Canis lupus familiaris: one gene and its partners. The protein of the gene in region 1 interacts with the protein of each later gene in a pairwise test. Links are inferred from orthologs where the notes say so. Each region holds a gene or a part of one and is shown in the gene's direction. Other genes may lie near its edges.

Evidence for each region.
Region 2: the proteins of TRIM63 (region 1) and MYOT interact in a two-hybrid assay, tested with the Homo sapiens proteins (2 studies listed by BioGRID). The link is inferred for Canis lupus familiaris from reciprocal best matches to the Homo sapiens genes TRIM63 and MYOT.
Region 3: the proteins of TRIM63 (region 1) and TNNT1 interact in a two-hybrid assay, tested with the Homo sapiens proteins (2 studies listed by BioGRID and IntAct). The link is inferred for Canis lupus familiaris from reciprocal best matches to the Homo sapiens genes TRIM63 and TNNT1.
Region 4: the proteins of TRIM63 (region 1) and UQCRC1 interact in a two-hybrid assay, tested with the Homo sapiens proteins (2 studies listed by BioGRID and IntAct). The link is inferred for Canis lupus familiaris from reciprocal best matches to the Homo sapiens genes TRIM63 and UQCRC1.
Region 5: the proteins of TRIM63 (region 1) and TCAP interact in a two-hybrid assay, tested with the Homo sapiens proteins (3 studies listed by BioGRID and IntAct). The link is inferred for Canis lupus familiaris from reciprocal best matches to the Homo sapiens genes TRIM63 and TCAP.
Region 6: the proteins of TRIM63 (region 1) and GMEB1 interact in a two-hybrid assay, tested with the Homo sapiens proteins (2 studies listed by BioGRID and IntAct). The link is inferred for Canis lupus familiaris from reciprocal best matches to the Homo sapiens genes TRIM63 and GMEB1.
Region 7: the proteins of TRIM63 (region 1) and CKM interact in a two-hybrid assay, tested with the Homo sapiens proteins (2 studies listed by BioGRID). The link is inferred for Canis lupus familiaris from reciprocal best matches to the Homo sapiens genes TRIM63 and CKM.

Annotation. Positions count from the first base shown.
Region 1 is NC_049223.1:73,296,934-73,300,935, forward strand, and holds part of TRIM63 (E3 ubiquitin-protein ligase TRIM63), read left to right. Parts: intron 1-1,733; coding exon 1,734-1,902; intron 1,903-2,667; coding exon 2,668-2,763; intron 2,764-3,968; coding exon 3,969-4,002. UniProt on the Homo sapiens protein: E3 ubiquitin ligase. Mediates the ubiquitination and subsequent proteasomal degradation of CKM, GMEB1 and HIBADH.
Region 2 is NC_049232.1:25,616,747-25,621,371, forward strand, and holds the start of MYOT (myotilin), read left to right. Parts: upstream 1-1,376; 5' UTR 1,377-1,531; intron 1,532-3,881; exon of another isoform or gene 3,882-3,953; intron 3,954-4,097; 5' UTR 4,098-4,305; coding exon 4,306-4,625. UniProt on the Homo sapiens protein: Component of a complex of multiple actin cross-linking proteins. Involved in the control of myofibril assembly and stability at the Z lines in muscle cells.
Region 3 is NC_049222.1:103,244,075-103,248,653, forward strand, and holds the start of TNNT1 (troponin T, slow skeletal muscle), read left to right. Parts: upstream 1-1,662; 5' UTR 1,663-1,726; intron 1,727-2,344; exon of another isoform or gene 2,345-2,455; intron 2,456-3,033; exon of another isoform or gene 3,034-3,060; 5' UTR 3,061-3,070; coding exon 3,071-3,102; exon of another isoform or gene 3,103-3,203; coding exon 3,204-3,217; exon of another isoform or gene 3,218-3,391; coding exon 3,392-3,421; intron 3,422-3,666; coding exon 3,667-3,699; intron 3,700-4,408; coding exon 4,409-4,430; intron 4,431-4,579. Other genes in the region: TNNI3 (troponin I, cardiac muscle), read left to right, coding at 219-302. UniProt on the Homo sapiens protein: Troponin T is the tropomyosin-binding subunit of troponin, the thin filament regulatory complex which confers calcium-sensitivity to striated muscle actomyosin ATPase activity.
Region 4 is NC_049241.1:40,914,985-40,919,470, forward strand, and holds the start of UQCRC1 (cytochrome b-c1 complex subunit 1, mitochondrial), read left to right. Parts: upstream 1-1,280; 5' UTR 1,281-1,366; coding exon 1,367-1,435; intron 1,436-1,691; coding exon 1,692-1,835; intron 1,836-3,640; coding exon 3,641-3,727; intron 3,728-4,486. UniProt on the Homo sapiens protein: Component of the ubiquinol-cytochrome c oxidoreductase, a multisubunit transmembrane complex that is part of the mitochondrial electron transport chain which drives oxidative phosphorylation.
Region 5 is NC_049230.1:22,763,325-22,766,815, reverse strand, and holds TCAP (telethonin), read left to right. Parts: upstream 1-1,442; 5' UTR 1,443-1,445; coding exon 1,446-1,555; intron 1,556-1,778; coding exon 1,779-2,172; 3' UTR 2,173-2,631; downstream 2,632-3,491. UniProt on the Homo sapiens protein: Muscle assembly regulating factor. Mediates the antiparallel assembly of titin (TTN) molecules at the sarcomeric Z-disk.
Region 6 is NC_049223.1:71,208,488-71,212,489, reverse strand, and holds part of GMEB1 (glucocorticoid modulatory element-binding protein 1), read left to right. Parts: intron 1-387; coding exon 388-519; intron 520-2,431; coding exon 2,432-2,569; intron 2,570-4,002. UniProt on the Homo sapiens protein: Trans-acting factor that binds to glucocorticoid modulatory elements (GME) present in the TAT (tyrosine aminotransferase) promoter and increases sensitivity to low concentrations of glucocorticoids. Also binds to the transferrin receptor promoter.
Region 7 is NC_049222.1:110,923,397-110,927,040, forward strand, and holds part of CKM (creatine kinase M-type), read left to right. Parts: intron 1-80; coding exon 81-235; intron 236-695; coding exon 696-828; intron 829-3,231; coding exon 3,232-3,403; intron 3,404-3,644. UniProt on the Homo sapiens protein: Reversibly catalyzes the transfer of phosphate between ATP and various phosphogens (e.g. creatine phosphate).

The DNA of each region.
Region 1 (4,002 bases):
TGGAGGCTCCTAGAAGGTCAGAGGTGTGCCCGAGGCTGCTCAGCAAGCCGTGATGCTGAGAGGGAGCCTAACTGACTCTATGGTGAATATTCCTAACTGCTATTGCCTCTATGTTCCTGGAGTAAAACTCCATAAAAGTACAGAAATATTGCTGACCATTCTCCAATAAGAAAATTAATATTGCACCCAAATATTAGCCCCTCACCTCGAGTATCGACCTCTGAAGAGCAGGTTTATGCTTGAACCCTTCGGGGGCCTTTCTACACAGTCAAATGGCTGTGAGAGATGCCCTTTATTGAGGGTCTGCTCTGTGCTAGGCTCTATACATTCATTGCTGATAGTTGCCCTGATCCCAGTAGCTCTGGGGTAAAACCAAGGCTCCGAGAGGTGAAATCACTTGCCCAAGGTCACAAAATGAGTGAGCAGCAGAACAGTCTGGATTTAAACCCAGATGCTGATGCCCGGGCTTCAGGAGAATGGGCATCTGGCATGGCAGTGGGCACAGGCACCAGACCCTCAGGATCTTAGCTCATCTCTGCAGCTACTGCCATTCCAGAGCTCCCTCCCGGGGGGGTAGAGACAGGTGGCAAAGGAAGACTCCTGCCAGCATGGGGAGGGGGGGGCCCTGCGATAAAAGATGAAAAAGAGATAAGTCTGAAAAGGGACTTATTTAAAAACCTGGGGAGATAATAATGTCTGGGGTGTGGCCAGTTGTGCAAGGCTATTCAGAGGTGAGGCATTGACATAGACAAGGGACAGTCACCATTTGACATTTGTGAGATGCTTGCTGTTTTAGGGACTGGGAAAGCAGAGTGGGAAAGCAGAGGTGATGTAGACATGGTGTTGGCTCTTAATGATATGTCTAGATGAAGGGGTAGGACTTAGACACAAAAAACTGAGCCTCAGATAGGAAGCAACTGATGCCCTGCGAGAAGCATAGATAACATGCCAGAGGCCCCTAAGTAGAGAACCAGACCGAGGGAGAAAAGCATTCTAAGAATGTGTGTTTGGGAAGGAAAAAACTCTGAATGCTGGAAAGACTTTCTGGACTTTAAGTCAAGGCTTGAGCTGAACTGTTACTCATCCTTGGGCTGCCTGTGTTCTGGTTGTGTGACTTGGGGCACACACATTTCTTCCCTCTCTGTGCCTGGGGGCACCCTCATGGTGTGCTTACTGGTATAGTCTCTCCACCTGTATTGAATAACCACCTCCTCCATGACACACACTGTACACTGCAAATTCAGAGGTGCCGGGAGCAGGCAAGTTTCCCTGCTTTGATGCGGTTACAGTCTGATGGATTAAATATAGAATTAAGTGAGGCCATGAGTATAAATTGCTTTGCTCAAAGTTAGCCTGCAGTAACCAGGAGTTACAGGGACTATAATTAGAGCAAATGCACTCTTGCCTCCCCTGCCCTGACTTGATGGGTGACCTTGGACAAGTCAGTTCACCTTTCTGGGGTTCAGTTTCTTCTTCTCAAAAATATCTCCAGTTCTGGGATTCTACAACCTTTCCCATGTTCATCACTGGAGTTTGAGTCCAAGGATATGAGGATAGCCTTGGTGTCACTGGCTTTCCTGGTTCTGGGTATCCAGAAAATGAAAAGGACTGTGTACAGCCAGTCACTGAGGGCTCAGGCCATAGATCTGGAGTTGCCACCCAGAGCTGGGGTGGGGGGAGACAGGGACTCGGGACCCCCCCCCCCCACTGTGTGACTTGTGATTCTTCTGCAGTCGGCCCCTGCAGAAGGGCAGCCACCCCATGTGCAAGGAGCATGAAGACGAGAAAATCAACATCTATTGCCTCACGTGTGAGATGCCCACGTGCTCCATGTGCAAGGTGTTTGGGGCTCACAAGGCCTGTGAGGTGGCCCCCCTGCAGAGCGTCTTCCAGGGACAAAAGGTACTGGCTTATACCACTTCTACCCCCAGCCTGGGCTTGTGGGGCATGGCCAGATGATTCAGGATGTAGATTTGATCCCTGTAGATCTGCTGAGCCGGCCTTTCAGGAATAGTCCCTCTGGAGGGACTTCCCAGGCCACAGGGACAGCAGCCCTTGCCTTCCTGGGGGAGGTGGCTGAGCTCATGGGTTATACTTAGAGCCACTTGAGAGCACCTGGGTGTGGCCACAGGCGAGAGACCAGACCCCTGGGCCAGGCCACCAGGGTCCTCTCAGGCCATGACTTCTACATCCCAGTGTGCTTGGGGCCCCAGATACCTCTTCCTGTGCTGGTTACCTCTCCTGTAGCAGAAAAAGTAGCTCAGAGCCCTCTCCCTGGCCCTGAGGCCTGTGGGAGTCCATAATCCTGCCCATGCAGTAAGCTATGGCCCCTCTTTCTGGACACTTCTTCCCTGCCTCCCACTCTTCTCTTGACCTCTCTCTTCTAGAACTCTCTATTTCTTTTTTGTATCTCTTCGTTCCTAAAAACAAACCCCTCCTCTGACAGTACATTGCTGTTTGTATTTTGGTCATTTCCCCTTTCTGGGCCTCATTTGTAAAATAAGGGATGTAGTATCTCTAGAGATGTAGGCTTTTTCTAGCAGAGAGGGGAGTGAGGGTGCCATTCCTGAGAAGACAGGCCCTGGGACTATTTCATCTCTCTTCTCCTTTTTTTTTTTTTTTTTTTCATCTCTCTTCTCCTGATCCCTCACCCCCTCTCCCATCTAGACGGAGCTGAGTAACTGTATCTCCATGCTGGTAGCGGGGAATGACCGGATGCAGACCATCATCACTCAGCTGGAGGACTCCTGTCGAGTGACCAAGGTGAGGGGGAGAAGAGTTCTGTCTAGGGGTCCAAGGCCTCTCAGTGAAGCCTGGTTCTCTGGGGTGAAGGCTCCGCTGTGAGCTGTGGCTAATGGTTGGGGCCTGGAGGCTGGGGTGTTCAAGCAGGGGTGGTGGAGTGGAAACCAACTAATCTATTCATCCACTCACTCACCAAATGCTTCTGGAACACAGCTGTGTGTCGGGCCCTGCCAAAGACGCTGGGGCTGGAGTGGTGAACAAGACAGACCAATCCCTGACTTTAGGAAGCATGCCAGCAATAATTCTCAGTATTTATTCAGCACAAGTAGTTTTCAGACCACTGTCTTCAGTGTGTTGTAGACTAAAGCTTCTCAAACTTTAAAATGCGTTCAGATCCCCCTGAGATCCTGTGAAAATTCAAATTCTTATTCAGTAGATCTGGAGGGAGGTATGAGGTTCTGCATTTCTTTCTAATGAACTCCCAGGCTTTACCCAACTTGTTGGTCCACGGACCACACCATGCAAGACTACATAGAGGCAGAAGGAAACTTTTCTATCTCTGAAAAAGAATCCATGATTTTTCATTTCCACTTGAGGTGGGGCCTAGAGATGAGGTGGGGGGGAAAGGGTCATCAGACTCCTGATGAACGAAGAGCTGTGTGAAGGATGGCTTTGAAGGAAGGAGGGGACTACTCATGAGATGCTCCCAGGCTGATAGAGGATACTAGAGCCTCCAGTCTGGTGAGATATATTATTATACCTATTTTGTAGGTATAGCATCTGTGTTGGAGAGAAGGGAGCCTCAGTGAGGAGGCCACTAGAGGAGTCGCTGCTTCTCCTTTCTTACTAGAACCAACTAGAGCCTCCTGAATCCAGTCTTGATCCTAAAATAGGGGCCAGGGGTATGTGTGGTGGGGGGTGACTTGGGAGGCCACAGAAGGCCCAGACTGGATCATCCCATCTGATCCTGGAGTCTCTATTTTTGAGGAAAGGGCTAGCTTTCTCCACGGCACTAGCCTCCAAACGTTACTGGTATGCTAAGTAGCTACGAGACCTCAGCAAATCCTTTCTTTTTGCCAAGACTTCATTTTGTCTTCTGTAAAATGGGGGTGTAGCAAGATCTCTTCCAGCTTCAGACTTGTTATTCCTAGCACATCCATCCCAGGAAAAATGTGCCAGGGAGAGGAAGACTCCCTAGGGTGTGACTCTGAGATTTCTGTCCCCAGGAGAACAGTCACCACGTGAAGGAAGAGCTGAGTC
Region 2 (4,625 bases), on another chromosome or scaffold:
CTTACATCAAAGCCCTACTCATAGTAAATGCTATTACTTGTTGGTTATTCTTGCTACTTTGATTGTCACTTGCACTTACATTTTAAGTCTCCTTAATTTGGATTAAAACACTTTGTCCCTATTAATGGAATCTGAAATATCAGTAAACAGATGTAGAGAAATATTTTGGGAAATTCCTGAAATAAGACTTGGTAGGCAAACACCTACTCGTCCAGTCTAGTGTGCCTTTTCCACTAAGTAATGGCTGTGTGCCCAGGAAGCAATTATCAAACTTTCTCTGAACACCAAAAGAAGATACACCTACATGGTCAGCTGTGAAGAATTTTATATGGCTCATAAGCGCTCAAACATCAATTGGACCTTAATGTACATGGTAATTAAATCAATACTGGAGCACCCATTAAGGAAGTTAATAAATAGATATGCTTTAAACAGAAGAAACATACCAAAATTGAAAACACTAAATGGTGATAATTCCACTCAACTGATCTGATACTCATGCCACCTACCCCTCTTTACTACTTCTGTTGTTGATCTGAAAGTTTCTTCCTCTGTAATTATTTAGTTCCCTAACAAAAATGGAAACCAAAATACCAAGACAGTCTCCTCAGTTAAAAGAGAAAGGAAATTGTTTAACTGCTAAGAGTTAAGGGAGATGAGGGAAAGAGTTGACAATATAAAGCCCTAAATTTACAGAATGCTTATTTGTCTGGTAATTTCTTTCTTTCTTTTTTTTTTTTTTTTTGGTCTGGTAATTTCTTACGTGTTTCAAAACTCTTGAAGAACAAAAGAACAAGGTCATAGAGGCATATGCCATACAGATTCAGAAAACTTGCTAAGAAACCAAATCATGTTTTTCCACTTCACCACCTTCCCAGTGATACATCACCATCACCATGCTCTCTTGCTTTGCCAAGACCACACCCTGTCTCTTGAAACAAACTGCTTGGACTTTGCTCCACCCCTACTTCTATTTGGCAAGGGGGGTGGGGAGCCTTCAGAAGAACAACTACCCAATACAAATCAGTTTGGAACCCATCAATCCCTGTCTTGTTTCTGGAAAATTTTTTACTAGATAGAACATCAGTCTTGGAATACAGTCTCCCCTTTAGTCCTTTCTTAAATAGGAAAGATTCCAAGCCCTCATCACAATAAAGAAACTTGAGTTTCTTTAGACTTTTTTCCACTTCCCAACTCTTTGCTCTTCCTCCTGCATGAGCTTGCTAAAGCTCACAGTCAAAATTCGCATCTAAAATAAAGAGGCCTGCAAGAGAAGCTCATGTAATCCCACTCCTTAAATATCACTGAGACATCTGAGATATTGTTTAGATTGTGGACTCTTACTTTGACATGCCAGCATAGGTAGATGGACAGGCAAGCACATCAGATGTCACTGTTTGGCAGCTGATAAAAGTCAGTGGCGCTATAATACTAAGCACAGAGCCACTAGATTAGTCTGTGAGGGAAGGGGTTGCCTCTTCCTTCCCTTCAGTAGTGGGTTAAACCCAGCTGGCACCCTCTGGAACGACGGGTAAGTCCCATCTTTATTTCTGCTACAGTTTTGGGTTTTGTTTTTGTGTTTCTGTCCAAATCAGAGGAATGTGCACAAAGATGATTTTCACATAAGATGTTTGAAAGTCACAACATCATGTTGTTATACAGAAATGTGAGGAGAAAGTAACTTACTCATTACACTGAAACTGGAAGGCATTATAGAAAAGGTACAAGGAAAGATGGTCATGTGTTAGTATTTTTAAATCATTTTTTCTGGGATACTTGGTCTGACTGTAATTGATGTCCTGGGAAATACCCTCAATCAGTTTTTGTGCAAGTCTGAACTATATTAGAAAGAAAAAGTTAAGATTTTTAAATAGGAAACTGCATAGTATTTTACTTATAAAATCTTTGAAATGTATTTACGATTATTTGGAATAAAATGATACTGTTGTGTAAAAGAATCTATTATAGAATTAAGTCTGGACAGTGACTACAAATATGAAGAAAAGCTTCTCAGAGTTATCTATTTGAGCAACTGCATAAAATTTTGTTGAAACATGGGAACAATGAAACTTTTGAAAGAACATATTTTCAATTGAGCTTTGAAAATAACAGTAATTGTTAACTATGCTGGCTGATACCAAAATGTACAAGATAGTTGATATTCTAAAAACATATATTAAAAAAAAAACAGGGAACATTTGGAAAATATCTACTGGCTATTTGTTAAACAGTTTATTACTTGCTATATGAAATGAATCTGAATGATTTGCCTTCCTAAAAAGGAATTTAAGAACCAAATTTGAATTTGATTCTGCAATGCAATGAATAAGCCCATAACTATAAAACTACTGCCTTGAAATAGAGCCCTTTTTTGAGAAGATCTAATTAAAGCCTCCTTCTGGATGTTTTCCTCCAACAATTTAAAGGCCTAATATAGTTAATTACTAAAATGCACTCTAATTGAACATGTTTGTGTTCATAAACTTGAAATTAAGGAATATATGGATTTTTAAGTGTTCTTTTTCAACAGAATCTTCCTCTTCGCTGTTAAGTCACATTTGTTCTTTCCTAAAACTGCTAGTTTTAATTTAACTCTAAACTACATGCATAGCCTTAGGATAAAGCTATTTGGTCTGAATTTTGTTCATTAAAAATGATACGTTCTTCAAGATAGGAAATTAAACAACTTTAAGATTTCATTTTGATGATGACAGGTTAGCTTTATCAATTAAAAGTTTAATTTATCATTATCTCAGAGTTGGCTTATACTATGTAAAATTAAATGTATTTTGAACTAAATTACCTGATATTTTGATTAGAGACAGAATTAACGCCACAATTCATAGGGTTAGTCTGTGTGTGTAATGTCTACATATAGTTCCGCTTAGACTTACCATAATAATGGAAGAAATCAGAGACAAATATAATCCTTCAAGGTTGATTTTAGGGGCAAAAGATTCATCTAAGGAAAAATGGGGATCATAGGAAGTCAGAAGAACCAATGCAGAATTAAGTCAGAGAAATAGCACCCATCCTTTCTGGTAAGGCATAACTAGCTTCATACTGCCTTACATCCTTCTATACATCCTTGTCTGCCATTTTGGGAAAAAAAGTAAAAGAGAAGCTGAAACAATTTCAGAATTAGTCTAAAATACACATGAAATATGAAAAAATAGAAAGCAAACTAAGAATATTGACAGCAATAACTAGATAATCTAAAAATAACAAGAATTTATATAATGCTCTGGAATAGACATACATACATACACAAAGAAAGACACAGATTCCTTAATTATCATTTAGTTTGGCACTATGGTCAATTTGGAATCAAGGAAAGAAAAAGAGGCAGTACATTGAAAGGTAAAAAAAAAAAAAAAAAAAAAAGATTACACTCCAAGTTGACAACAATGATTTATACATGTTCCTTCTACTTTATGAAATTCTAAAAGGATGAAGGAGTAAATGCAGACGCTCATGTTCTTTATAAAAAAGCTTACTGTTCCCCTTGATTTACCAGGACATCATTCATCACAGATCACCAGGACATTAATTAACTGATGTATCAGAAGAGCTTTCATTGGTCTTCATGAGCAACAGGAAAAATACAGACTGAATGGGAGTTGACATGTTAGATATTTAACAGCTAATAATTTAAATCATTAAATCTCTGTGGTTAATAAAACTGAATCTTCTGGGCAAAAGTTAATCTTAAAACCATAAAATTATCACACTGAGCAACATCACAGAACTTCTTTCCGTAAGTAACCAACCACTTGGCAAACTCAAACTTCCCACTCCTTTATCTTGAAAGTCACTGGGCATGCTTTAAGAATTACCCAGAGGCAAACAAATATTAATAAATCATTTCTTCTTGTTCTCAGGAGAAAAGTCATTTGTACAAAGACAGAGAGCTAAAGGAAGAGGCCTAGAAGCCAGGGAAGTTCCACCTTGAGGTGACCTTGAAAGCATATAAGAAAAAAAAAAAAAAAAAACAAGCTGTATACGCTCCTAAAGATGTAAAACAAACAATAGTTTTTTATGAAAATATTTTAACTGAATCTTTTTTTTTTTTTTTTTTTTTTTTTTGCCTTTTGAAGGAACAATATTCTTCAAGAGAAGTCTACTCCATCAAAGACAGGAACACAATATTCCCAAGATCTCAACGAGGGGCAGACCAAGACTGCTTCTGATTCCTTGGGACCGTCTGTGATTCCAGGCTTGCCATCCCAAATTAAGGACCCCACCCTTCCAGGAGCAAATTATTACAGTAATAAATTGCCTTCATCTTCCATATATCAGCTAAGCATGTTTAACTACGAACGTCCAAAACACTTCATTCAATCCCAAAATCCATGTGGCTCCAGACTGCAGCCTCCCGGACCGGAAACCTCCAGCTATTCTAGCCAGACCAAACAGTCTTCCATTATCATCCAGCCCCGCCAATGCTCAGAGCAAAGATATTGTGCCTCCTCAACAGTGAGCTCTCATGTCACCATGTCCTCCTCTGCTTTCCCTGCTTCTCCCCAGCAGCATGCTGGCTCCAACCCAGGCCAAAGAGTTACAGCCACCTATAACCAGTCCCCAGCCAGCTTCCTCAGCTCCATATTACCATCACAGCCTGATTA
Region 3 (4,579 bases), on another chromosome or scaffold:
GAGAAAGGAAGTAGCAAGGCCAGAAGTGCATGAGGGAGATAGGATGTGCATGGGGGCAACTTTGATGGGATCGCCTGAGGGGATGAGAAGCCTTCCAGAAGCAGATCTCAAAATGGACATCCAAAGCAGAGTGGCCCAGCGGGCCAAAGATTGGGGGGAGGCTATTTGAGAGAGTGTAGATGGGAGAGAAGCCCTCACTCCTGGCCCCATTCCTCCAGGAAAACCGGGAGGTGGGAGACTGGCGTAAGAACATCGATGCGCTGAGTGGAATGGAGGGCCGCAAGAAAAAGTTTGAAGGCTGAGCTGGCTGCCCCCTGCCCTGGCCCTGAAGGTGTCCTTGAGGAATAAAGTTTCTCTCTGAGCTAGAAATGGCTGCAAGTCTGCTACCTGGGGGTCCGGTGTGAGGGAGATGAGAAGACTGAGGGGAGAGTCCCCCAAAGCCACACCACACAGCAGGAGCAGAGCTGGGTCTGCAGTAGGGGGCGTTCCCAGCTCTTATGCCTCACACGCAGGGTGTGCAGAGATGCCCAGACCGAGGTCCAAGGAGAGAGACATGCACACACACAGAGACAGCCAGAGACCCACAGAGAGGGAGAAAAGACAGAGATTCCTAGAAAGACCTGCAAAGAAAGGGGAAATGGAGAGGCCGATGTGCACAAAGCACATCAGAGACCACCAAACAAGGCAGAAATAGGGACTGAAAGAGGGACAATGCAGAGACATGGAGGAAGACACGGATGCAGAGCCAAAGAAAGACATAAATGAGGTCACACACATTCATATGCCAGTAGACAGATTCACAGAAATTGACAGATTCACCCCCAGAAATGCAGAGACAAAAATGCATGGGGAGACACAGGGAGTGAAAACACAGACTCGGAGAGACCCAGAGAGACAGCCCCTGGAGAAATGCCCAGAAAGAGAAACAGAGATGATAGGCAGGGAGAGACAGAGACACTGAGAAGCAGGAGGGGTGGCTGGCTCCCTTAGGGTTCAAGGTCGTGGCCGGCTGTGGGTAAGGGTAAGGGGGGCAGGAATACCCAACAGCTCAGTGTCAGATGAAGGTGGGGGAGTGTGAGGTCATGGGCCTGACACCACACCCTCTCCCCTCCCCCGACCCACACCTGCTTCCCGGCTTTAGCGCCTGTTGTCACCAGGATGGAATCCTGGTGGCAGACAAAGGGGTGGGGGTGGGAGGGGGTTGACAGAGACAGAGACAGAGACACACAGGTGGAGGGTCCCAGAGACAAAGGAGAGATGGACAGTATCAGAGATGCAGAGAGGCCCGAAGAGACACAGAAACTGGGACAAGAGCCTTATAAGAGGAAGCACCCCTTGTGCTCTTTTTGTCAGTAAGTATTCTCTGAGGACCTACTGTGTGCCAAGCCCAGGGACTTCAAAGCATCGGGTTCAGCGTGCTGTAAGGGAGGTGGGGAGCCCGGAGGTTGGAGGTCACCTGACCCAGTCTAGGTGCGAGGCCATGCTGATGGGGTGAAGGGGTCCCTAGACCCCCAGGAGGTGCCAGGATCCTGAATATGCAGCCAGAGCGGGGGCAGGGCAGCCTCTGAGCTGGACTCTGGGTCTGAGAGAGGAATTCTCAGGCCCTCCCTCTCCCCTGGGGGGCGGGGCTGAGACTCCACTATAAACCAGGGGTGCTTCCACTCGCAGGGTCAGCAACAGATCTGCCCTGCCCATTTGCTCACCGACTCTGCAGACTCAGCCTTAGGTAATGGTCTCCAGGAGCTTCGTACTGGGGGGAGATGGGGGGGGGGGAGACGACAGGAGGGGTGGCTACGGAGGTGGAGGTGGTACAAACTTAAGGCTTGGGAATTCCTGGGAAGTTCAGGCTTTATGAGGCCTGAGGACAGAGGTATTAGGATTTGGGAGTTATGGAGTCTGGGGGTGCCGAGATTGGGGTGTCCCAGAATATAACACCTTCAGACCTAGGAGCTCAGAGGGAATCTCAGAAATTGGGGATATCTGGGCTTGGACATTTATGGGCTGGGTGTCAGGACTGGGAGCCTCAGACTCTGGGGATTTGAGAATTGAGGTCTCCAGGTCTGAAGCCATATGATTGGAGGTACCAAATTTTGGGGCAACATGAATTGTACCTCTGAGCTTGGGCGTCTAGATTTTGGGGTCTCAAGACGTTGAGGCTTTAGAATGTAGGTGTCGAGACCTAGAGCGTCAAGATCTGGGGATGTCAGCCCAGACGCTGGAATCTCAAGAATGGGGTTCTCAGAATCTGGAGACATGAGGCCTTGCTTGTCCCCAGAAACTAGGGGCATCATCAGTTGGAGGGGCTCAGGATCTGTGGGTCTCAGGATTTGGGGGTGCTCTTAACCTGGATACTGTTGGTCCTGGGGGAATCCCAAAGATGATGTGGTGTCTATGTAGGAGTCAGGGTGAGATGTGTGGACTTCACTGCTCTTGATGAGTCCAGCTTCCTTCAAGGCTGTGGGTAGGGGGCCAGGAGGGGCCAGGTGGGAAGATAACCAGATAGGGGGAGGGGGAGGGGTGGAGAGGGAGCCTGCGTGACTAATTCTCCCAGGAGCCTCCCCCCTTGAATCCCTTCTTAGGAAATGTCCTCTGTTTCACCATCTACGACATCCCCCCAAAATAGCCTTTGGGGGGTGGGGCAGCTATTGTCTTCAGGCCACAGTCCCTTCCCAAATACCTTCTCCTAATCTCCACTCAGATCAGGTTCCCATGGACATGTCATAAGACAAAGGAGGACAGCTGTGGTGGTGGAGGGGCAGGAGCTGCAGCTTTGGGGCTGTGCTCCCCCCACACCTCCCAGAGCCCTTTCCCTGTCAGGGCTCCCAGCCCCTCCTTCCTGAGACTGGGGAGTCCAGGCCCCCAGCCCCTCCTCCCTCAGACCCAGGGGTCAAGGCCCCCAGGCCCTCCTCCCTCAGACCCAGGACTTCAGGCCCCCATTCCCTCCTCCCTCAGACCCAGGACTTCAGGCCCCCATTCCCTCCTCCCTCAGACCCAGGACTCTGGCCCCCAGCCCCTCCTCCATCGGGACCCCACCTCAGTCGCATGTTCTTTGGTCCTTAGGTGACACAGGATGTCGGACACCGAGGAGCAGGAGTATGAGGAGTGAGTGGTGCTGGTGGGAGGGCTGGGGTATGGAGAGGTGGGACCCTCTCCCACCTCCAACACGCTAACCCTGCCTCTCTGTCCTCTTCCTGTGTCCTCAGGGAGCAGCCCGAAGGTGAGTGGGGAGTGGGTGGCCCTCGGTGGCCTGGGGACACGCGCGGGAGGCCCGAGGACAAGGGTCGCCCATCGCCCCCGGCCACCCGGGGCGGCCACCCTCGGGGTCGCAGCACCCTGGGCGTGCTCTCTTGTGGGGTTCTAACCCTGCCTTTTCTGCCCCCTGCCCTTCCAGAAGAGGAGGCTGCGGAGGAGGAGGAGGAAGGTGAGGCCTGGACCCGCAGGTCTGCGGCCCAGGCAGCCCCGCGGGGCCGGGGCTGGGTGGGGAGGGGGCGCTGGGCGTGGCGGGGCCGGCGGGCACGGGGCTCCCGACCGCCCCGGCTTCAGGTCCTTTAACAGCCTCTACCCTTTCTTTCCTCCCTGCCCCCCCCCCCCGCCCCCCGCACCCCGGCGTGGCCGCTCCCCCTCGCTACCCCCTCCTCGCTTCTCCCCCTGCCTCCTCCTCCCCAGCCGCCGAGGAGCCGGAGCCCGTGGCAGAGCGAGGTAACCGCGGCTGCTTCGCTTCCCGAGACGGATTTCCTCGGGCCCCGAGCCCTGCGAGGACCCCTGCGCCCGCATAACCCGCCCAGGCCCGGTCCTTTAAGCTCCGGAGAGCTCGCGCGCCCTCTGGTGTCCACGAAGGGAAACGGCCTCGCCGAGGCTTTAACCCATTCCCTTCCTTCTTAAAGGGACCGACACCCAAGCCTTCTTCCCCAGCCTGGAGGAATTCTTGTAGAAGGGTTGGATGTTTGCGGACAGACACCCCCACCCCACCCCCATCTAAGTCCCCGACCCTGTCACTTTTCTCCTTCATATACATTCAAAGGTTGGGGTGTGAGTTGCAGAAAGGGCTCTCCCTGGGCGTCTGGATTCTTGTGTCCCCAGAGGGGAGGGGCTGGGGGCACCCTGAAGTGCTAGGTGTAAATGCAGAAGAGCAGGAGCTTTGGTATGTAAGAGGAAGGTCTGGGGGGGTTGGAGCCCTGGGTTCCCAGAGAAGTGGGAGGGGGACCCCACACCAGTTCTGAATGTATATCTGATGCGTGTGATCCTCCTCTTCCTGATTTCCCTTGTTCCCTCTTCTCCCCCCCTACTCATGCCTCTCCCCCAGAGCTGCTCCTGGGGTCTATGGCTTGGAGGGGAGTTCCCTCCTCTGGGTGTATCAGGCCCACCCCCATGAACTCTTGCTAATTATCTCTTTGTATCTCCCCACTAGAAGAGGAGCGTCCCAAACCAAGGTGAGATCCTAGGGGCTAAGCATCCCAATCACATCCTCCTAAATATGTACCCCCCACCCCCAGAGACAGGGTGTAAGAAAAGCAGAAAAGGAGAGTGGGGCCCTTGAAGCAGGAAAGGGCAGGGATTTGTTCTGTCAGCCAATTGTCCA
Region 4 (4,486 bases), on another chromosome or scaffold:
CTGTGTCTTTCATGAATAATTAAATTTAAAAAATCCTAAAAAAAAAAGAGTTCTTCTAAAAACAAACAAACAAACAAACAAATAAATAAAATACACAGAGAGGAGAGAGGCAGAGGCACAGGCAGAGGGAGAAGCAGGCTCCATACAGGGAGCCCCATGTGGGACTCGATCCCTGGTCTCCAGGATCACGGCCTGGGCCAAAGGCAGGCGCCAAACCGCTGCGCCACCCAGGGATCCCCATAACATAATTTTAGACCACAAAATATTAATAAACACACACTTAAGCGCCTTTTGTCTGCTTTTTATAAAAGTTATATTTTAAGTATGACTTTTTTTTAAAGATCGCAAAGACAGAAGTAGAATAAATCACATATAAATTACGTAAAAGCAGAGTTCAGAGGTATGCTCTTTCAAAAGTAACATGTGTCTTGCAAAAATTAAAAACTTTGTATTAACACAGAAATCTAACTATGGTGAGCATCCTTTTCTTCCCTTCAATCCATTTTTTCCAGAAGTCCCTCGGCTGAAAGTTTCGAGTGAGTTCCTCCGGATTTTTTTCTTTTCTATGTGGTCTATGAGAAAAGCCGTATTGTTTTGTTCTGTTTGTGGGTGTGTGTTTTGTTTTCTCAGAAAGGAGTTGCAATGTCACAAATCCGAGATTAGGAGTTTTCCTGTTCTACAGTGCGCAGTGGGCGCGTCGCCGGGAACGGGGAGCAGCAGCTTCTCTCTCACGTTCCTCTGGGAATTGTGGCTCAAGGTCGACGACTCCGAATTCGACGTTACTGTCCCGGGGCGTCTGGGCGCACATGCACAGTGCCAGCATCAACCGCCAACGAACGGAATCCATGTTCTCTCCACCCAAGTAAGTAGTCTCTAAGCTGTTCCTTTTTCTCCAATTCCCTCGAAGTCAACCGTCTGAATCTACTTCAACCTTTTCGAGAGAAAACCGTGATCAGCAGCTACCTCACAGTCCCAGCAATCCGCGCCGCTGCTAGGGCCCCGGGGCTCCCATCCCCGGACACGCGGCCGCTGCGCCCCCGGCCCGCGCGGCAGCTCCGAGCTCGCAGTGGATTCGGGGCGCCCGCGAGGCGTGAGGAACATCGGCACTTTGACTCTCACGAGTGAAAGGGGAAGCTGGACTGTACCGCGGACGCACCGGCACTGGCCACGCACAGCCAGGTGGGCTGAGGCACGCGGGCACCCGCCGGCCGCGGGCACAACCACAGACCAACGGCGCGTGAAGAAGCTGCTCTCCGCCAGGAGGCGGCCGAGCGCCACGGCTGCGGCAGTGCGCCTGCGCCTCGGACGCCGTCGCGTCCCCTTTTACGCTTGCGTGACGCGACCTAGCGTCGACTGGAGCTGGAAGATGGCGGCTTCCGCGGTTTGCCGGGCGGCGGGCGCCGGGACGAGGGTGCTGCTGCGCACCCGCCGCTCGGTGAGGCGACAGCGGGAGCACAAGGCCGCGGAGCGCGGGGCTTCGGCACGCGGACGGGAGCGGACTGTTTAGCCGCGCAGGGTCACCGTTGGGGAGGTTCCGGGGTCAGGGCCGTGCGAAGGTCACGGCGCTGAGCGGGGATTGGCGTCCTGCGGCGGGCCGGGGCGGGGGGGCTGCGACCGGGATCCCACTGCTGGCCAGGGAGCCGAGGTCAGATCCCGCAACCGAGTCCTCAATCTCGGTCGTCCCTTTTTAGCAGTCGTCCCTGCTGAGGTCGCCTGCCTTGCGGAGCACCGCCACCTTCGCCCAAGCTCTCCAGAGCGTGCCAGAGACACAGGTCAGCCTGCTGGACAACGGGCTGCGAGTGGCCTCCGAGCAGTCCTCCCAGCCTACCTGCACGGTGAGCCGGGGCTCCCCTCGGGAGGCCGCCTCCCTACTGCGCCTGGCGTCTTTTCCTAGGTCAGGGTGTGACCTTGGGCTCAAGTCCTCTGTGGTTTGGGTCAGACTCCTTATTCACCACTGAATTGACTCTACTGCCTTAATCCCGACCCCAGCTAGGCCCCACTTCTTGGAGGCATTCCTTACTATAACTAGCACACATTTAGTATATGATGCCTGCCAAGCCAGAGGCCAGGTTTTTTTTTTTTTTCCAGCGTATTCTTAAGCACCTCAAAGGAGAGAAGTGATCCTGTTTTCATTTTACCATGAGGAAAATGGGTTTCAGAGACATAAGGTAACTGCTAGAGTCACAGCCCAAAGTCATAATCTCCTGGCTAGACTACTTACGGGCCTGCATAAGGAATGCATTTGAAAATTCCGAAGAAATTGATTTCTTCCAAAAAAATACAAATCCCCCAAATTGACTTAAAAGAAATCTTGGTTAGATATATGAATAGATGAGAAGATTCTGAAGATGTAATCCTCTTCTCTGCACTCTAAATGCCAGGGTGCAATAAGACCAATAAGTGGTCTTATTAGTAAATTCCTTCGGTTTTCCAGGAACAAATAATGTGCTTTAAGTTGTTACTGAATGCAGCAAAAAATCATGGGCAACTTTTGTATTACGTGGCTCTTATATCCAAAGCCTGTTTAGAAAGTTGGTGAGAGAATGCTGTATTTCACGGACTCTGAGAAGCTCTAATTGTAAGGGGCACCCACTGTGTCCCAGTGGCATATAAAGAATGCTGCCTATGATAATCAAAGACTACCGTGGGTTGTAAGATTTAAGTTTTCCTTCTGAGATGTTAGTTGTGAAATAGATGTTAGCGTAAGAATTTATGTTATATTGTATGCCTATCAACATCTCTTAGGAAAGTAGATGTGAAAATTTTAAATCAGCTGTGAGCAAATATTAAAAGACTAGATCTATGTGACTTGTGTGGGATGAGTGATGTGGTGTGTGTTTCATAGCACACCAGGAGGCTGTTGAAGTAATGATGAGATTCTCTCATTGGGTGCCAAGGAGACATTTGACAGTGTTAAGTATCCAAGTCTGGTTAAAAACTTAAAAAAAGAAAAATTGTGAATGAAGGCTCCTTGCTTAATAAGATAAAATGTTCAGTGTCTAAACCAATAGCCTGGGCAGCCCCCGTGGTCCAGCGGTTTAGCGCCGCCTTCAGCCCAGGGCCTGATCCTGGAGGCCCGGGATCAAGTCCCACGTTGGGCTCCCTACATGGAGCCTGCTTCTCCTTCTGCCTGTGTCTCTGCCTCTCCCTCTCTGTGTCTCTCATGAATAAATAAATAAAAATTAAAATAAATAAATAAACCAATAGCCTTCCTTAATGGTGAAAGACAAAATTACCAGAACAAAGGCAGGGTATAATTTTTAGAAAGCAGAAGATAAGTTGTTGTTTGCAAACAATGTGTCGATTGCCTAGAAAAAAATAAAAAGAGTCAACTGAAAAGCAAGACAATATAAGAATTTCATATTGGTAATGGGGTTAGGTGAGTGTGCACAGAAGCTTTCTTGGGAACCAGTCTACAAATAGAGTGGGAAGGAGAAGGGACATGGTATGTCTTTGAGCCCCTGCCTGTGCCCAGGGCACAGCTGTATCTCCAAGCACATGGGGTCCTACTGAGACAACTCTCCCCCAACCTTGGGACCGTGAGCCCTGACCTGGGGCTTCTGTTGAGTCTTCCAGGATTAGGCATAAGTGGGGGCTGGGGTGGTTTGTGTGTTACCTTTGTTGATGGCTTCTTGTCCAGGTCGGGGTGTGGATTGATGTTGGCAGCCGTTACGAGACTGAGAAGAACAATGGGGCAGGTTACTTTCTGGAGCATCTGGCTTTCAAGGTGAGGCTCTTGAAGTCCTGCATCTCCCCTGGGGTTGGGGCTGCCTGGTGTCCCTCCTGAGGAGGATGTAGGTTCACAAAGTCAGCTTCCTCAGTTATGGGCTTCAGTTGGGGGGCGATCTCTGGCTGGCCTTTCTGGAAGGAATCACATGGGCTTAGCCTCTCCTGAGTGAATATATATCTGGTCAGCCCCTGCACAAGGCCCCCAGCGCCTGAAAGAAACCCAGGGAGACGCAGGACCCCACTCCTCACCAGAGAGGCCGGGCGTGCGTCATACACATGCATTGGTGCAGAAGTGTGGAACACGTAGATAGATGTTAAGATATGTATTTGAACAAACTTGTAGACTTGGGCTGTCAAGCGTTCTCGTGAAATGCTCTCTGGCCGAATACCTGGGCATCTCTTGTTTCTAGAAGTAAATACTGAGCTTTCCTGAGGTTGGAGATAGTCTTCATCCTTAGCCCCTTAGCCAGTCCATGTTGTCATGAAGTCTGTTTTTTTAAAAGAATGAAAAAAATGGAGGAGGAGATATAGATGGGTGGGGGCGTGGAGCAGGACCATGTAGATAGCCTAGCCAGCAGCAACATCACAGATGTGTGTGCAGATCTCAAGATGGATGTGTGTGCCAGTGGACACACGCACACATACACGTACAGGGCTGGTGTTGAGTCCCACAGAGGTTGCACTAGTACACACACAATAATATGAATGGCTTGGGGTTAGAGTGGGTAATGGCAGCATCAGCTGAACATTGATGTGT
Region 5 (3,491 bases), on another chromosome or scaffold:
CACACTCGCTAGGGGCAGCACAGAGTCAGATTGCGGGCAGGGGCCACCACCCTCCCTACCCCGCCCCCCTCCCTGCCAGCCGGCTTCTGGGGGGAAGACTTGCATAGAGCCAAGGTGGGGCAGGGGTCCTGTCTTGGTCCCGCCCAGATATGTGACCCTGGGCGGATCGACCTCTCTGGGCCTCCGTTTCCTGCTTTGTAAAAATGAGACTCGTTATGTTGTAGGGCTGTCGGAAGATTAAAACCAGAATCAGGCCTAGTGCTTCAGGAATCAAGAGGACGTAGTTCTGCTCCAGGCGAGCACCCACGGGGCTTACCAGCTGCTGGGTGCTCTGCTGTTTCTGCAGGATCCTCTTCTCAGCTCTTGCACAGCCTCTTCCGGTGCCCTTTGCTGTGTCCACTCAGTGATGCCCTTACTTGTCCTCCCCCCATGCCCAGCGCCCTGTGCGCCAGTTCCCTGCACCATGAGCTGCTTCCCTTGAATGCTGGGCTTTCCCAGAAGCTCCCCTGCTCCCCCGAGTAAGAGCCAGGCCCCTCCCAGGTGGCACAGTGGAGCCGCTCAGGCTGTTGTGAGCAGAAAATGAGGCCCAGAGAGAGGCAGAGGTGGCTTCTTGGTCACCAGACTATTTACAGCTGGTTTGGGGCGAGAGCCAGATCTGACCCTGCCACTTCTTGGAGCCCCTGGATTCCCATCTCACCTGCCTTGGGGTGGAGTTGGGGATAGAGCTGGGGGCCTCCTCCCACACTTGCTGTTTGCACCCTGACTGGCCTGACCTGGGAAGCCACTTTTCTGACCACTGGCCGTGGGAAGGCTGACAAAGGCTCATGTGCAGGGTCCCGGTGCAGAGTTAACCACATTATTTCATGCCAGTGTGGTGGTGGCAGTCGAGGACCAGGTCTCGCTGCAGATACCTGAGAGTGGTTATACTGTCCCTTCCTGTCGCAGGGCATGGCTAGGGGCTCTGCCCTTGTTCCCAGGCAGAGGAGAGCAGTGGGGGCAGGACCCGATGGCCTGGTACAGAGCCCAGAGTGGGCCTCGATTCCTGCCACTGTCTGCTCTGTTTTCAGACAGGCCCCTGCCCTCCCTGGGCAAGAGGAAAGGGGCGGGGCAGAGAGCTAGTGCCAAGGTGGCACGAGGCTGGGCATGTGCCTGGCCTCAGACAGTGTCTAAGGAGTGTCAAACACCTGGAGGTGTCACTCTGAGGACCTCTGCCCCCACTGGAGCATCTTGATCTCTTTAGAAGCTGACCGCTGACCCCAGGCGGCAGCTGGAGTCCAGGTACCCCAATCCCCCACCCTGGACCCAGAGTCCCCCATCAGTGAGCCTTGGCTCTGCTTATAGCATCTGACGCCAGAGGGGCTGAAAATAGCCCCTGGAGGAGGTGGAGGAGGGGGCTATTTAAAGGGCCTGGGAGGAGCAGAGCCGGGAGGGAGTGAGCACCGATCATGGCCACTACAGAGCTGAGCTGCCAGGTGTCCGAGGAGGACCGCGAGCGCCGAGAAGCCTTCTGGGCTGAATGGAAGGATCTGACGCTGTCCACACGGCCTGAGGAGGGGTGAGTGCCAGCCGGCTGGGAGTCCCTCTCCCCCAGAACACCCCTCCTGAGCCTCAGGAGGCCAGAACACAAAGCCCTGCAGAAGTTTCTGGGGGTAGGGACAAGGAGAGGGTACCCCTTCTGTATCCCAGGTCCTGGAAGTCCCAGGGAGCCCCCTGCCCAGCTCATTAGTAGAGGGTAGCAGATTTCAGGAGCTCAGTGTCCCCTCCCGTCTCCTCCCCAGTTGCTCTCTGCACGAGGAGGATTCTCAGCGGCATGAGACCTACCACCGGCAGGGCCAGTGCCAGGCGCTGGTGCAGCGTTCCCCCTGGTTGGTGATGCGTATGGGCATCCTCGGCCGCGGGCTGCAGGAGTACCTGCTGCCCTACCAGCGGGTGCTGCCACTGCCCATCTTCACCCCCACCAAGATGGGAGCCGCCAAGGAGGAGCGCGAGGACACCCCCATCCAGCTGCGGGAGCTGCTGGCCCTGGAGACGGCCCTGGGTGGCCAGTGTATGGAGCGCCAGGATGTGGCCGAGATCACCAAGCAGCTGCCCCCTGTGGTGCCTGTCAGCAAGCCCGGTGCCCCTCGTCGCTCCCTGTCCCGCTCCATGTCCCAGGAAGCACAGAGAGGCTGAGAGGGACGGTGACCTGGGCTCCACTGCGCCCGCCGCGGGCTGGGCCCTTCCTGGCTAGGACCATGGAGGGGAGCTGCTGGCCATGGATGCTTTGTAGTTTGCCCAGAGTTGGGGGCTAGGGGAGGAGGGAGCCAGAGGCCAGGATGCCTGGGTCCCCTGAGTTCCCAAAGGGAGGGGAGCAAAGACAGTGGCCACGAAGGGTAGGGAGCTGGGGACCAGCACAGCCAAGTGCCCGCCAGCCCTAGGAGAAGGGACAGAAGATGCCGGGGAGGACAAGTGGTCCCTGAGGGGAGTGACCCTGGTCCGGGCCCCGGCTTCAGAGAAGATGAGGATGAGTGTAAGGGGATCTGGAATGCTCTAGGAAGAATTGGAGGAGACGGGAGTGAGGGGGACGTGAAGAGGGCAGAGGGGAGAGTGGAGCCCCCAGCATCCTCTGTTAGCGCTGCAATAAACGCTCAATTGTGTTCCAGACTTTCTGTCTCTTTCCTTATGGGGGCCAACCCCACCGTGTCCGGCCCTCGGTGCTCACTTCTGGGAATAGGCCTTGCATCTGAGCTAAATATGGCAGAGCCGGTGGGTACACTCCATGCTAGGTGGTGGGGGCAGGGGAGACAGGGACGGAGCTGTAAACAGGGTGGCTGGCTCTCCAGTCCCCTTTCCGTGCCCTGGCACTGGGCAGTCCCCGGCGGGCCAGCTGGCACCCAGGGTTTGTTTAAATGATCTCATGGAGTATTGGGAGGGGGCTGGCAGCAGGACTGTCCTTGGCTGTACCTAAGGGTGTGAGCGGGGTCACTGGCCCCAAGGCTGACCTGAGTTCTGAATCCAGACAGAATCAATCCTTGGCTGGGGTCAGGCACTTGACCCACACCACCCAGGGAGCCCAGGGTGGGTTGTGGGAAGCAGAGGGTCAGGTGCTTGTCTGTGACGCCTGTCTCAACCTGGTTGCCTGGTCCAACAAGGAGACATGTTCTCCTTAGGACAAGGTGGGGGCCAGGAAGCCAGGAAGGGCACAGAGGAGGCTAGGGCCCCCTCTGGTCAGGGTCTGAGGGACAGGGACTGGCCCAGAGGGATCCAACTCCAGGGAGACCAGAGATGGGCCCATGGAATCCACTTCCCATTTAGGGGAACAGGAGGGGAGACGCTGGCATCTTGACCTGGAGTGCCAAGCAGGACCTGCAGGCTGGGCCTGGCACGCTCACCCAAGAGAGGGGAATGTAGTGTGGGCTGGGGGAGGAGAGGGGTCAGAAACCCCAGATTGGTGAAACCCCAATTCCCTTGGCGCTGAAGAAGGCCCAGCCCGCGCCTCGGGGGACCGGGGC
Region 6 (4,002 bases), about 2.1 Mb from region 1:
TAAGCTCCATACTTTTCTCTTAAATTATTTCAGGCCCTCTTCATCCTCACTAAGTCTGGGCAGATAGCCTGGCAATCATGCTCACCTTCAGTTTTTTTTAAAAAAAACGCTTGCTCAGGAAGCAGATTGCTCTTTTGTGATTTTATAAGTTATCTTTCACTTTCTATTAAGAGTAAGAAGAAAGCATTTTCTTTTGAAAGAAGGTTTTCTTTAGAAAATCCGATATTCGTCCTGGCTTACCAAAGATTCTAGTTTTTACTATATGGACCTCAAGGCAAGAAGGCCAGAATGTTAAAATAATAGGGTCTCTTTAGCTGTATGAGAAAAAGGATCGCTATGACTTTTTCATGAAATTCACTGGCTTTACCTCTGATGGACTGCTTTTAGGTAGTATCACACAGATTGCCATCTCGGAAGAGAGCATGGAAGAGGCAGGGCTGGAATGGAACTCCGCTCTCACTGCTGCTGTCACCATGGCTACAGAGGAGGGTGTGAAGAAAGACTCAGAGGAAATTTCAGGTACTTTTCTATGTGGCTCAGATATCTTGCAGGGTTTTGTTACTCTTCTCACCATTATGATTAGGGACACAATAGGTCTCTTAATTACTTTTGCTGATTTTTCTCATATTGATTTAATTGTAGCTACAAACATTTTATTATAATCCATGCCACAACAGCCATGCACAGTCACATTTTACATAGGAAAAAAATTGAGATTCGAAACGGTTCAGCAGCTTGCCTAAGACCAGTCACCCAACCAATAGTATCAGAGCCAAATTCAGCTGTTTGACTCTGTAGTCAGTGCTTTTCATCCTGTTTAACTGCCTCCAACTTTGGAACATTTCTTAGATAAACCAAGCTGCAAGATGTTAAAAGAAAAAAATTAGGTAGCAGGTGGTGTAGAGGATGGTGATTCATGATGATTCACTTAGAGGGGACCAGGAAAGGTTTCACATTATCCTCCATTCATTAATTCACTTGAAAAATATTTATTGCTGCCTATTTTTAGTTGGCACTGTTGTCAACATAGATGAAAAGACAGCCTCTGCCCTTAGGGAGCTTATAATCCCACCTATTCAACTGTTTTACTTTATCTTGTAAGTATAAGACTAGAGAGAGTATGGTTGATCCTTGAACAATGTGATGGTTTGGGGCACCAACCTCCTGTACAGTTGAAAATCCGAGTGTGGGACGCTAGGGTGGTTCAGCAATTGAGCATCTGCCTTTGGCTCAGGTTGTGATCCCGTGGTCCTAGGATTGAGTCCCACCAAATCGGGTTCCCTGCATGGAGCCTGCTTCCCCCTCTGCCTATGTCTCTGTCTCTGTCTCTCTCTCTCTCTCTCTGTGTCTCTCATGAATAAATAAATAAAATCTTAAAAAAAAAAAAGGAAAAAAGAAAATCCGAGTGTAACTTGACCCCCCTGCCCCCCCCAAAACTTAAGTACAAGCCTTATCGATAACATAGTCGATTAACATACTTTGTATGTTATATGTATTATATACTGTAGTCTTACAATAAATTAAACTAGAGAAAAGAAAATGTTAATAAGAAAGTCGTAAGATATGGGCAGCCCAGGTGGCTCAGCGGTTTAGTGCCGCCTTCAGCCCGGCGTGATCCTGGAGACCTGGGATCGAGTCCCACGTCGGGTTCCCTGCATGGAGCCTGCTTCTCCCTCTGCCTGTGTCTCTGGCTTCTCTCTTTGTGTTTCTCATGAATAAATAAGTAAAATCTTTAAAAAAAAAAAAAAAAAGAAAAAAGAAAGTCATAAGATAAATTTACATCACTAGACTGTATTTATTGAAAAAAATCTGTATATAAGTGGACCTTCACAGTTCACACTATGTTGTACAAGGCTTACCTGTATATCTCTAACTTAATGTATTTATTATTTAACTTTTAAGATATTAAATACTATTAAATTTTAAATTAAATGATTTAAATAAATAATACTTAGTATTTATTTAATATATTTTTTAAAGATTTTATTTATTTATTCATGAGAGACACACATAGAGAGAGAGGCAGAGACACAGGCAGAGGGAGAAGCAGGCTCCATGCAGGGAACCCGACATGAGACTTGATCCCAGGTCTTCAGGATCAGGCCCTAGGCCAAAGGCAGCACTAAACCGCTGAACCACGCAGGCTGCCCTTATTTAATATCTTTATTGGAGGAAGATAACCCACTCCCTGTAGCCAAAGCCATGACAAATTTAGGCAATTACCTCAAGTCCCTATGATGCTGAAGAGGCCAAATAATTGGGTACCAACTTAGAGGGGCAGCTAGTATTCCAAAAGCTTCTTCCTTTTTCCCAGAAATGGCTCAACAAGAAATCATTTCAGATTAAAATAATTTCAAGTTTAACTTGTAGAGATGTGCCTAAGTACCGTAGCATCTCTTATTTACCTTCTGTCTTATCTCTCTTGTGTCAGAGGACACTTTGATGTTCTGGAAAGGAATAGCTGATGTAGGGCTGATGGAAGAGGTTGTCTGCAATATACAGAAGGAAATAGAGGAGCTACTCAGGGGAGTTCAGCAGCGGCTCATTCAGGCTCCCTTCCAGGTAACAGGTAAGTGCCCTAATTCTAACAACAGTGGTCATTATTGAACACTAACAACTGTAAGCAGATCCTGTTAGCCTCATGAAAACACTGGGGTATTATTATCCCCATTTTAGAGATTAGGAAACGAAGGTTCGTACAAGTTGTTTTTTTTTTTAGTGTTATGTGCTGCCGAAGCGAGCACAGGTTCGTACAAGTTAAGTTACTTGTTCAGAGTTCATAAGAAGGTTTTGAACTCAAGTCTGGTCATACTTTTTCCACAGGTAATTTTTACTTTTATAAATGGTGCCAGAAAGGAGGCTTTCTCTCTCTGTTACATATATATAGATAGAGTCTGAAAATTGGAGAAAGCTACCTGGTTTTAGACAAGCCTCATATTCTGTCAGTTTAGGGTTTCCAGAACTATTATTTGCACTTACAGCTGTGTCTGAATACCCTTTGGGTACTTCCTGCTATGCATAATGTAAAAGGATATTCTAATCATCTGATACAAAAGGGTCATGATAATGGGGCGCCTGGTTGGCTCAGTTGGTGGAGCATGTGACTCTTAATCTTGGGGTCATGAGTTTGAGCCCCACATTGGGGGTAGAGTGTATTTAAAAAAAAGTCATAATAATATCTCATAAGCTTGTGTGTCAGTGAGTTCCTAGATTTGTTACTTGTGTCTTATTACCTCTTTATAATTCCTACATTATATAAATACACTTAAACTTTACAGTAAAGTCTTTTTTTTTTTTTATGTGCTTGGTGGAATAAAAAAAGCAAGTAACATAGAAAGCAGGGATGACTCTTTTAGATAGGGTGGTCAAGGAAGGCCTCTCTAAAGGTGGCATTTGAACTGAAGAAGCTAGCCATATGATGAACTGGGAGAAGGAACATTTCAGGAAGAAGGAACAAAGACCTTGAAGTTGCAATGGGCCTGATGGGTTCAAAGAATTAGAGAAGCATGGAGGCAGCCACAGTATAATAGGGTATGGGAGAGTGATAGGTGATGAGGTTGAAGGGCAATAAAGAGGATATTTTAGATAAGCTTTGGTTAGAATTTTTTTTTAAGATTTTATTTCTAGGGATCCCTGGGTGGCGCAGCGGTTTGGCGCCTGCCTTTGGCCCAGGGCGCGATCCTGGAGACCCGGGATCGAATCCCACATCGGGCTCCCGGTGCATGGAGCCTGCTTCTCCCTCTGACTGTGTCTCTGCCTCTCTCTCTCTCTCTCTGTGACTATCATAAATAAATAAAAATTTAAAAAAAAAAGATTTTATTTCTATTCATGAGAGGCACACAGAGAGAGGGCAGAGATACACGTAGAGGGAGAAGCAGGCTCCATGCAAGGAGCCCATGTGGGACTTGATCCCAAGACTCCAGGATCATGCCCTGTGCCAAAGGCAGATGCTCAATCGCTGAGCCACCCAGGTGTCCCTAAACTTTGGTTTTATTTTAAGGT
Region 7 (3,644 bases), on another chromosome or scaffold:
CATACAGTTTCTATAGGACCAAGGAGCCTGGGTCTTCCTTGCTGGGCACAAGCGCCTCTGACCTTACCCCAAATCCCCAGGTCACCCTTTCATCATGACCGTGGGCTGTGTGGCCGGTGACGAGGAGTCCTACCAGGTGTTCAAGGATCTCTTCGACCCCATCATCCAGGACCGGCATGGGGGTTACAAACCCACCGACAAGCACAAGACTGACCTCAACCATGAGAACCTCAAGGTCAGCTGCCCACAGGGGAGGGGAGGGATGGGGAAGAGAGGGAGGATGACGGAGGTGGGAAGGGATGCTCCAAGAGGCAGAGATGGAGGGCAGGAGGGACAGAGAGGCATGCAGGACAGACAGGGAGACCAGGACACAGCGGGGGAGACTCAGATGGGAGGAGAGACAGGGAAGAGATGAAGAGAAACCGGACGCGGGACAAAAATGGGACGGGGGAAAAGAGATGTATGGAGGAAAGGGGCAGATGAGAGGCTGGGAGAAATAGGGAGGGAGAGGCCGAGAAGGGAGAGGCCGAGCCAGGGTGGTGGTGGGAGAAGCCAGTGGGCAAGGAGGAGCCGAAGGAAGTAGCAGAGTCAGAACTGGGAGCCCTGGGTGGGGGGGCCAGGGAGGACATGGGCTTGCAGTGGAGGGGCGGCTTGTGGGGGCCGTGCCCAGCCCTGACCCCCCTCCTGCCCTCCAGGGTGGAGACGACCTAGACCCCAACTATGTGCTCAGCAGCCGCGTCCGCACGGGCCGTAGCATCAAGGGCTACACACTGCCCCCCCACTGCTCCCGGGGCGAGCGCCGGGCAGTGGAGAAACTCTCCATAGAAGGTGAGAACCCCACCCTGCCCACCACTGGGTAAATCGTGGGTGCTTGATGAGTGACAGCTGGCAGCATTACCCCTGCTGGAAGTCTGGGGGCGCTGTCAAGGAACCCTGAGCAGATCCATGCAGACTTTCAATTGCACCAGGGTCCTGACCTCCATCCATCCATCCATCCAACCAGCCAGCCAGCCAGCTAACCAGCGTTTACGGTTGTCATGGTCCTGAGTAGGGGGCCGGGGCTCCCATGATGAATAAGATGGACAAGGTCACTGTTTTCACAGAGCTGTCAGCCTGGTGGGGAGATAAGAAGAAACACAGAAACCAGCAAAAGAATGATTAATTCCAAAATGCCGTGTAGCCGAGAAACAAGGGTGCATCATAGAATGGCTGGGGGGAGCTCCCTGAGAAAGGAGGAGTTGATTGACAAAAAGGAGCCTGAAGATTTCCAGGCAGGTGGAGCAGCAAGTGCAAAGGTCCTGAGGTGGGGAAGTGTGTTGGAGGAAGAGCAAGGAGACCAGTGTGGCCAGAGCTGAGCAGACCAGGGGAGGAGATGCAGTCAGAGGAGTATGGGTGGCCTGCTTGTGCAGAGCCTTGTGGGCCATCAGGGGGGCTTTGGCTTTGACTCTGAACAGATGAAAGCCATGGGAGGATGGTGACTGGAGTAAGTTCAGACTTACATGGGCAGTTTCCTGGCTGTTGAATAGGGAACAGACTGTGGGCAAAGGTAGGAGCAGAGAGGCTGTAAGGGGCAACCACAATGGTGCAGGCGTGGGGTGAGGGATAGGCAAAGGGATGGAGAGAATGAGCGATATATTTGGGAGGTAGGATCATCAGGACTCGCAAGCATGTTTGTTCTAGTAAACATCTAACAACCAGCTCTTAAGAAGAAAAAAAAAGCCCCAATTTGTAGCGACTGCCAGTTTCCATGGTATAAATTCTCCTGCCACAGCCAACTTTAAACTATGAACATGATATCATAGAGAGATGGGAAAAGATACACATCATTACATACTATTCCCACCAAAGGGATAGAGATGAAAAAAGCTTCAAGAACATAGATAATAAAGATGTAGTAAAATAATTAGGAAGTGATAATTTTGGATATTTATAACCTATGGCAGTGTTTTGACTTTATTTATGTTTTATTTTTATTTATTTATTTTTGAGAGAGAGAAAGAGAAAGAGAGATAGAGAAAACGGACAGAGGGAGAGAGAGCATCTTTTTTTTTTTAAAGACTTTATTTATTAATGAGACAGAGAGAGAGAGAGAGAGAGAGAGAGAGAGGCAGAGACACAGGCAGAGGAAGAAGCAGGCTCCATGCAGGGAGCCCAACGTGGGACTCGATCCCTGGTCTACAGCAGGATCACACCCTGGGCTGAAGGCGGCACCAAACTGCTAAGCCACCCGGGCTGCCTTTTTTTTTTTTTTTTTTTTTTTTTTGAGAGAGAGAATCTTAAACAGGCTTCACTCCCAGTGCAGAGAACCTGACTTGGGGGCTTGATCTCACAACTCTGAGATCAACCTGAGCTGAAATCAAGAGTTGGATGCTTAACCAACTGAGTCACCCAGGCACCCCTTATTACCTGTGTTTATAAAATAATTTATTTTATTATAAGTTTATATAATTTTTTAAAGTAGGCTTCGTGCCCAACATTGGGAGTCACATGCTCTACTGACTGAGCCAGCCAAGCGGCCCCAGATAAATTATTTTTATTGTACTTTATTCTTTAAGATTTTATTTATTTATTCATGAGAGACACAGAGAGAAAGGCAGACACAGGCAGAGGGAGAAGCAGGCTCCCTGCGGGGAGCCCGATGCAGGACTCGATCCCAGGACCCTGGGATCATGACCTAAGCCAAAGGCAGATGCTCAACCACTGAGCTACCTAGGTGCCCCAATAAATTATCTTTAAAAATATAGTATATAATATGTGATACATAACATTATATACTACACTATATTAAAATGTATAACATGTATATAAATACATATTGTATATTGTGCATATATACATAGTAAACATTTATTCTACATATGGATATATACAAATACTATAAATGCTATTTTATAATAGTTTTTCCTGTTGGCTCCCCAAAATCCTAAGATTTTGATTGTCTGTCTTCCAGCCAGTCGGAGGGGCTCCAGCACACTGCTGGTCATAGGTGGATAGGATGTGAAGGTCAGGGAAAGGGCAAATCCATGTTTCCTGGCTGAGCACATGTCTTGGCTGCTCCCAAAGCCTGGGAGAGGTCGCAAATTTGGGTTTCATCCTAGTGTTCAGGAGCCATTAGGACATCCACGGGAGCATGCCCCAGGCTTGTGTGGGCAGCAGGTTGGGGTCCCCAGGCCTCCACGCCCAGGTTGTGGTGGAGCAGGTTGCTGACCACTGCCTTATATGGCCCCTCAGCCCTCAACAGCCTGACAGGCGAGTTCAAGGGGAAATACTACCCTCTGAAGAGCATGACCGAGCAGGAGCAGCAGCAGCTCATCGACGATCACTTCCTGTTCGACAAACCCGTGTCCCCACTGCTGCTGGCCTCAGGCATGGCCCGAGACTGGCCCGACGCCCGCGGCATCTGGTGAGTTCCCCACCCCACTACCCTCCCTGTTCCTCCACCAAATCCAACGCCATAAAAACAATTATGTTTCCAGATGCTCTAGAAAAATGACCTCACCTTCCACCCCTTTGTGACCTCGGGCACAATATTTAACATTTCTCTGTCCTGGTTTCCTTATCTGTAAAATGGAGAGCACAGTAATTGAAAACAGTGTCTGGTATATAGTAAGTGCCCAACATCTTGGCTATTAGTTTTATCTTTT